Bombyx mori: one gene and its partner. Each later gene encodes a partner of the first gene's protein in a complex. Links are inferred from orthologs where the notes say so. Each region holds a gene or a part of one and is shown in the gene's direction. Other genes may lie near its edges.

Region 1 (3,656 bases):
CAACAATACACCGAATTACAAAGATAAATGTCACGAATACACCGAATTACAAAGATAAAATTAAATGTGTCGCGTATTAAACGAAATGTCGCTTAAACGACGAATAAAACGATACTGCTTAATAAAAATAAGGCGGTGCATGCCCACTAATACGTCTTGACACTCGTTTCGCAGTTGCACATCATAAAATTGGAGGTTTAGATTTTATGATCATAGAGGAGACCAATATTATTCCTGCACTGTAGGATTCATTCGTAAACACGTCTTAGATGCGTATTTTCTAGACAAAATGTTATCTGTCCAATCTAGACCATGGCATAAGAGTCCATAGGCCATTCTCTCTACGGCCACGCTTCAATATTTGATACTCATACATGTCTATAGGTAATTGCAGATTTAATAAGTAAATTGTATTGTTTGGGCAGTTACACGAGTTGATTCCGTCCGTGTCGACATGCATAGTATCACGACAGCTGTGCCTTCGTCCCGAGATGGATAACCACTGGGCCCTGCGAGATTTCGCCGCGCGACTCATGGCTCAGATATGCAAAACATTCAATACTTCAACCAATAATCTACAAACGAGAGTCACCAGGTATTTTAATTTGAATAAATTTTAAAGTCACACAATGTATCTGGTAGTTACTATACGAAAATTCTTTGCGCTCAGGTTGTTCGCGAAAGCCCTCCAGTGCCCTTCACAAACAAACAACGAAACGGGTCCTTCTATGGCGAGCATGAAGGAATCGGAGAAGACTCCTCTCGCGTCGCTGTATGGAGCCGTGCAAGGATTGGCAGAGCTGGGCCCCGAAGTCGTTAAAGTGAGTAATCTGTGTGCTTAGTGCGAGTTTTTTAACGTTTTCGATAGCGTGAAAGTTAGCCCAATTTTGTATGCAGTTGGAACAGCGCCCCTAGTGGCAAACGTATGCAAAAGATCCCATTCTGTACGAATATAAGCTAACTTTTACGCCATCGAGAACGTTAAAAAACTCGCACTAAGCACACTGACGCCGTCACGCAGCGCCCTCTACATAGGCGCGTTAAACATTGTCGTGCGTGAATTAACTTATGCACGCCGGGTTTTTAGTTGAATTTGATGGCTGTGTACCGGCGGCCCAGACACGTAGGCGCAGTGTTGGATTTACACTAGGGGCAGTCGGGGCAAGTGCCCAGGCCGGCATATTTTTTAGGGCGGCAAAATTTTTAGTTTTTTTTTTTTAGTTTTATCAAGATTGCTCAATATAATTAATTAATTCTAATAATTAATAATTTCCTTTTTAATTGATAATTCAAGAAATTCAATTCATCCATTATTTGTCAATTATAATTTTGGCACTTTTGGTAAAAATTAATAATCAAAATGGTTTAATCAATTTATTTCCTTGGAGATTTAAAATAATAATCGATTTTTCTATTTTCTATAATTAAAGAAATATAATTAGTTATTTTTTTTGATGAAATATAATTATGAGTCACCCTTAGTCAAAATTTGTAATTGTTAGAAAAAAATATATATATTTATTTATGTTTTTGAAATATATGACATATGATAAAGTTTCCGCAATAAATTAGTCATCCTAATTTTGAAAAATAAAATATATAAATTATAAATTTAGGTAAAATTACAGTATTGGCACGGTTTTTTTTTATTGTTTAGATGGGTGGACGAGTTCACAGCCCACCTGGTGTTAAGTGGTTACTGGAGCCCATAAACATCTACAACGTACATGCGCCCCCCACCTTGAGATATAAGTTCTAAGATCTCAGTATAGTTACAACGGCTGCCCCACCCTTCAAACCGAAACGCATGACTGCTTCACGGCAGAATAGACAGGGCGGTGGTACCTACCCGCGCGGACTCACAAGAGGTCCTACCAGCAGATTTTTTTCCGGTACCGAGGAGCAGTATTATGTTTCAATCCGACCCTGCGTAGGCGTGATAATCTGGCGATTCATGTTAGATCTGGTAAGATGACGCCTTTTTTACAGGTGTTCATTCTGCCGCGCGTGCGTTGGTTGGGAGAGCGCGTGGAGGGCGCGCTGAGCGGTATCGGTGGCGCGGACCGACTGGCGGCCGGCAACCTCAAGCACCAGCTGCTGAAAGTCCTGGCCCCTGTCGTCCGACAACTGCGGCAACCGCCCGACCAACCCGAAGACTACAAGTCAGTCACGTCTTATACACGAATCGTCCTGTTGATTTCCTATTGAACTTTTTATTACTCATGTCCGGTCAGTGATTGTCGATATTCGCGCATATTTATTGACACCTAAAAATTTAGATTAATTTTATATACCTAGGTACAGTACCAGGCAATAAATATTGCACATCGATATTTAGAAAGAGACTGTCGTCTAATTTTGTTATTATTGTAGAGCGTTATCTGTGTGCGATGAAACACCAACGATCCCGTATCTATGGAGATTAAATGTCAATTAGGTAATGTGCGACACATATAACGCTCTACAAAGCAAAAATTAACCATCTCTTTCCCACGGTCGATGTGCAATATTTATCGCCGGGTACTGTATAACATTTTCTTTATTTCTTATTGACGTTTAGAAAATAAACAATGTCAAAAAAAATGTCTAAAGATCTTCAATAGCTAATGAACAAAAAGAATATCAATGATCAAACACAGAAGAAATTTTTTTTCTTCTATAAATTGGCAATATTTTTATATAGATTACCGTAGCATTATTTTTTCGCTACATGGGCCGTTTTCCAATTACAGCACAAGAGCGCATTATGCGGCATAATGCTCAACTAAGCTTCAGCATAATTCGGCATTGTGCGTCACTGAGTCGCATTATGCTCTGTAATTGGAAAACTACCATTAAGTAATGGTTAATTGCCGAATTATGCTGAAGCATAGTTGAGCATTATGCCGCATAATGCGCTCTTTTGCTGTAATTAGAAAACGGCCATGGTTTCTGCTATCCGTCTGAGCATAGGTACCAGTTGATACAGGTATGTTATCAGACCATCAGCTAACCACTTTCCACTACATTTACCTTTAGTCAGTATGCTGAATGGTGTTTATTTTGTAACTCAATCACATTGTGGACCTCGAAAAATGAACTAGAAATGTATCATACACTGTTCTTGATGAAGAATTACTATCGCAACCTTTCGGTTTTGATTTTACTTGTGATGATTCCATATAATGTCATTATAAGAATTGAATATATATTATCATGGGTGGGCCCGGCAATTGTCTTGTCCTGATAATAATAATAAAGCCTTAACGGGTCCAATTGTAATTGGAAATTGTCCAGGGACCCCCTTTTGCGATGCAAAAATAATCATAAGAATCGGGCCAGCAGAATCCCGGCATACATACCCTCTTATTCCAAAAATAACATAGATTGCGATTGGAATGCTACCCTATGTAATGTTTTTTTTTCATGAAAGCCACATTTAAAATTACGTTAATTTTTAGTCCAAAAATAGCCAAGTGAAATGATTAAATATCTATGAACATTTTTTTATATCAGATTTACATAGATAAATTACATACAAAGACATACATTATATTATAGATATATCAGATCTAAATCAGATTCAAGTATACTGTTTTATTCAAGTTCGCAAATAAACAAGTTTTTATTTAAAAGCTTTAAAAATACTTCTATAATATTTTAGTGATTTTTACTTC
Region 2 (3,818 bases), on another chromosome or scaffold:
AAGTTATTTCATATTTTAACTGAATAAATCGAAATGGTTATTATAGTTGTATGTTTTATTTATTTAATACCCTTCAAAATCCATGTCAACCTTCAGTGACTTTAGAAACAATTCTTGTTGATTCACCATCGTTAAAATAGTCCTACTTCCAAGATACTGTCTCATGAATGAATGAATAAACTGAACATGGCGCTAATCAGAACTGGCTATCTTAGTAAAAAAACCTGCCAGACTGTTATTAAGTGGATATCTAACTTTTTTGTGTAACTTGTCGAAAGGCAAGCAATTGCTTAAATTCCAACAGAACAAAGAAACATCAAACGGGAACGCTTGACTGTTTTGCGGCAGAAAAAAACCAGATTATGGATATCTATTCTAATTTATTTTTCAATTCACAGTTTATAGACGGTTGATAAATGAATATTAATATTCTCTAAATCTAAGAAAATCCTAAAATTAAATGAACCAAATAATACAAACCAGTTTTTCATTTTGTTACAATATTGCCGAAAAATAATATACATACATATATCTTTTTATTTTGAGTACTTTAATTAAGATAAATAAATAAGAAAAATGATTTCTGTTTTGAATGTAAATGCATAAAAGGAAATTTAATATCTAGGTAATATTTTTTTCGTAAGACAGTGCGGGATAAGCGTTTACATTTGTTTAAAGATAAAGGTATTGAAAGTAGAGATATTGAAACCAGCTACTTAGTTAGTTTTGTTAACTAACTGTACAGCTGTTTGATGAACGAAATAAATAAGAAAAAAGGAATTCATTATATATTTTTTGAAGTAAAACTTCTTTAGGCGCGTTGAGAGTGAAATTTAACTCGCGACAGATTCGTTACGGCTAGAGAGAAAAGATACAATTTAGGAAGAGCGAGAGTAAGAAAATAGGTAGGGCGTCTTGTGAACCACTCAACCGTGGAGAGAGGGAAAGGGCAAAGCGAGTTAGGTCGTTTTTTAATTTAGTGACATCTATTGGATTTCGTTTAACTACTACATTGCAAGACCATCGGTGTGAACAGTTTAGTTTCTAAATTATTTACAGAAGGCGGTATTTTAAATAAAAGTAATTATCACTAAACATATTATTATTGTAAAACCAAAGGACTCGTTCGGTAATCATCGAATACTGGTAACAACTTCTTTCTAAGTTAATCTTATTTCTCGAGATAAATTGAAGTTTCACTTCTTTCACGTGCACCAAGTTTTATACGCGCACCAGTTTTTTGTTTGTTTCCAAGTTCTGACAACAACCATAGAGAGATATACTTTTAAATGTGTTCTGAAATGAAGATGTCAATGGCTCAGAATGGCTGACACTGACAGTTTGAATTGACTTGACAATCGTCATCAAACAACATAGATCTGTCACAATCACAGCACAAGTGTTGTTTTTATAGCATTGTTACCAAAATAAAGTATGCCAATACTATGACTAAGAAAAAGATTTTTAAACAAATCAGAAATAATTCGGTCTAAAATTAAAATAACAAATAAAACTACAAGATGTCAGAGAAAGACAAATCCAAATCGGGTGGTCAAGCTAAGCACATTCCCAAAGATGCCCAAGTCATCATGTCCATCATGAAGGAAGTAGGTATCACTGACTATGAACCGAGAGTCGTGAACCAGCTCCTAGAATTCACATACCGCTACGTTACATCAGTATTAGATGATGCAAGGATATTTGCAAACCACGCAAAAAAGAAAACTATAGATCTTGATGATGTGAGACTGTCAGCTCAAATGCAATTGGACAAGTCCTTCACGAATCCCCCGCCCCGTGAAGTGCTACTGGAGATCGCGAGGGTCAAGAATGTTAATCCTTTGCCGTTGATAAAGCCGCATTGCGGGTTAAGACTGCCTCCGGATCGGTAAGTATTGGAAAATGTAGCACACTTTAATCCTATATCTCACAGCACATTATATTAATCTTTCGTGAGTATGGACTTAGATAATTTCTTCAAAAATCAGGATTAGCTTAAATAGCTCAAGGTTCAATCACCGGACTTGAGGGAAAAATACTCCACTTTAGACCACACGTATGTAATTTGCGCACCATGAATTGATTGCAACAATATTGTGTTCACAATCAAAGTTCAGTAAAGTCTTCTTGTAAACAATATCTTTAGGTGACAGATTGTCTTATTACAATTTGTAAGTAGTTACTGATACTTCAATACTGCCTGTTACTAAGAAGTCTTCAAACCTTACTGAAATAATGTCAGAATACTCCATAAACACCAATGGTTGCATTTGGGAGCCTGGTATAATAGTAAAAATGATGAATAGAAATACACTATGGACCAATTCCGCTAACAAAGGAAATTATGGAATAATTTTGATTAATTTTGTGTGAAACATGAGATTCCCTTAACACCCAGAGCCTTTTAATATGGTTAACTTGTAAATCGCTGCATGTTTACAGAGAATATTCATTTTTCCAGTTACTGCCTGTCATCCTGTAATTACAAACTGAAACCAGCAACCAAGAAAGTGATCACAAAAACTACGATAACCCCTTCCCCGTCCATAAAAACGGTCACCACATCCAAAGCACCTCAACAGACAGTTGTTATGAAGAGACCACCGGGAGCAATTGTGAATGTGGGCACCCCAAAAACCAGTCTCGGAACAAAACCTGTACTGAAATTTTCATCAAGCAGTAAAGTAAGAATTTGGTTTAATTTTAAAATTATAGAATAGATAAATAGACAGCACTATGCTTTATCATATTCATCACAGATTGAACTATTAAAAAGTGGTTTCTTTATTTCCTAACAATAATTTGAAATGTTGAAAACTGATAATCTATATTATGATATAAACAAAACGAAATATCTATTTTGTCTAATTAAATGTCAACTTATATTTGATAATATCAAAATTGCGTCACAATTTTTTTTTATTATATCTGATTATGTATTGAAATCTACATTATAAATTAAAACTAATTTTAATCTTTCATTTTTTATTTGCTTTACATTATTTCTGACATTTCATAGTTAGCACAATATTTAAATGTCAATGAATTATATTGCAGGTAGTAAAACCAGCTGTAAGAGTGACAGCTGGTCCTTCCTCACAGGCTCCTATCAAGATGGAGACAGACGAGCCAATGAGCCACAAACGGAAAAGAGAAGACGACGATTATGATCTATAAATAATTAATAGGATCACGATCTTTCTGCCTGGAATCAACATTTTGATATTAAAAAGTATCATGTGTTTAATCCTGTTTGTTTAGTGATTAATTCCATAAAACCTGATGATGCAAATTGCTCAGATTGTATGGTTTATATGACTAAGGGTATTTTAATTATTACTGTAGGTAGAAACAACAAAAAAATTGAATTTTTCCTGTTTTTTTTAAGTGAATCATATTTCAATGAAATAGCTTGCCAAAAGTTCTAAAGATAATATAATAACAGAAAGATTTAAGTAAGAGAATCTGAGATTAAAAGAGTCACTGTCTGACTGTGCCCTATAATTTAAGTAAGATCTGGAGGTGAACTCATACCGTTTTGATGCACAACTAGATTCTTTTTAATTTGCGACCGTATAGCTTGGCTGCCGTGCAAATTTTGAATTGAATTTGATATTATGTGTTGTAGTTTTCTAGATGAGAACAGGATATCTACAGTGATTTAACATACATTTAAGAAGGCATTAAAATAGAGTAGGTAAGATAAAAATGCATTCACAGAACTTGTCATCTACTACACTCGCGAGCAAAAGTTTGGAATCACTTACTTGAAATTGATTCCGCGCGATCTTGTGTACTAAATATTTTTTTGATAATCA

What was found. Proteins that work in one complex are often made in the same cells at the same time.
Region 2: the proteins of transcription initiation factor TFIID subunit 6 (region 1) and transcription initiation factor TFIID subunit 9 are in contact, whole or in part, in a crystal structure (PDB 1TAF), measured with the Drosophila melanogaster proteins. The link is inferred for Bombyx mori from reciprocal best matches to the Drosophila melanogaster genes Taf6 and Taf9. Residues at the interface, in NP_524161.2 of Drosophila melanogaster: Gly18, Ser19, Ser20, Ile21, Ser22, Glu24, Ser25, Met26, Ile29, Ala30, Ile33, Val35, Ser37, Leu38, Ser39, Asp41, Ala42, Glu45, Leu46, Asp49, Val50, Ser51, Lys53, Leu54, Lys55, Ile57, Val58, Gln59, Ala62, Gln71; in NP_523391.3 of Drosophila melanogaster: Lys20, Asp21, Val24, Ile25, Ser27, Ile28, Leu29, Glu31, Leu32, Val34, Glu36, Tyr37, Glu38, Arg40, Val41, Gln44, Leu45, Phe48, Thr49, Phe50, Tyr52, Val53, Thr54, Ile56, Leu57, Asp58, Lys61, Thr71, Ile72, Asp73.

The regions. Positions count from the first base shown.
Region 1 is NC_085121.1:11,006,943-11,010,598, reverse strand, and holds part of transcription initiation factor TFIID subunit 6, read left to right. Parts: intron 1-425; coding exon 426-595; intron 596-670; coding exon 671-821; intron 822-1,989; coding exon 1,990-2,162; intron 2,163-3,656. UniProt on the Drosophila melanogaster protein: TFIID is a multimeric protein complex that plays a central role in mediating promoter responses to various activators and repressors.
Region 2 is NC_085109.1:1,357,202-1,361,019, reverse strand, and holds transcription initiation factor TFIID subunit 9, read left to right. Parts: upstream 1-1,324; 5' UTR 1,325-1,520; coding exon 1,521-1,888; intron 1,889-2,461; coding exon 2,462-2,684; intron 2,685-3,057; coding exon 3,058-3,177; 3' UTR 3,178-3,247; downstream 3,248-3,818. UniProt on the Drosophila melanogaster protein: TFIID is a multimeric protein complex that plays a central role in mediating promoter responses to various activators and repressors.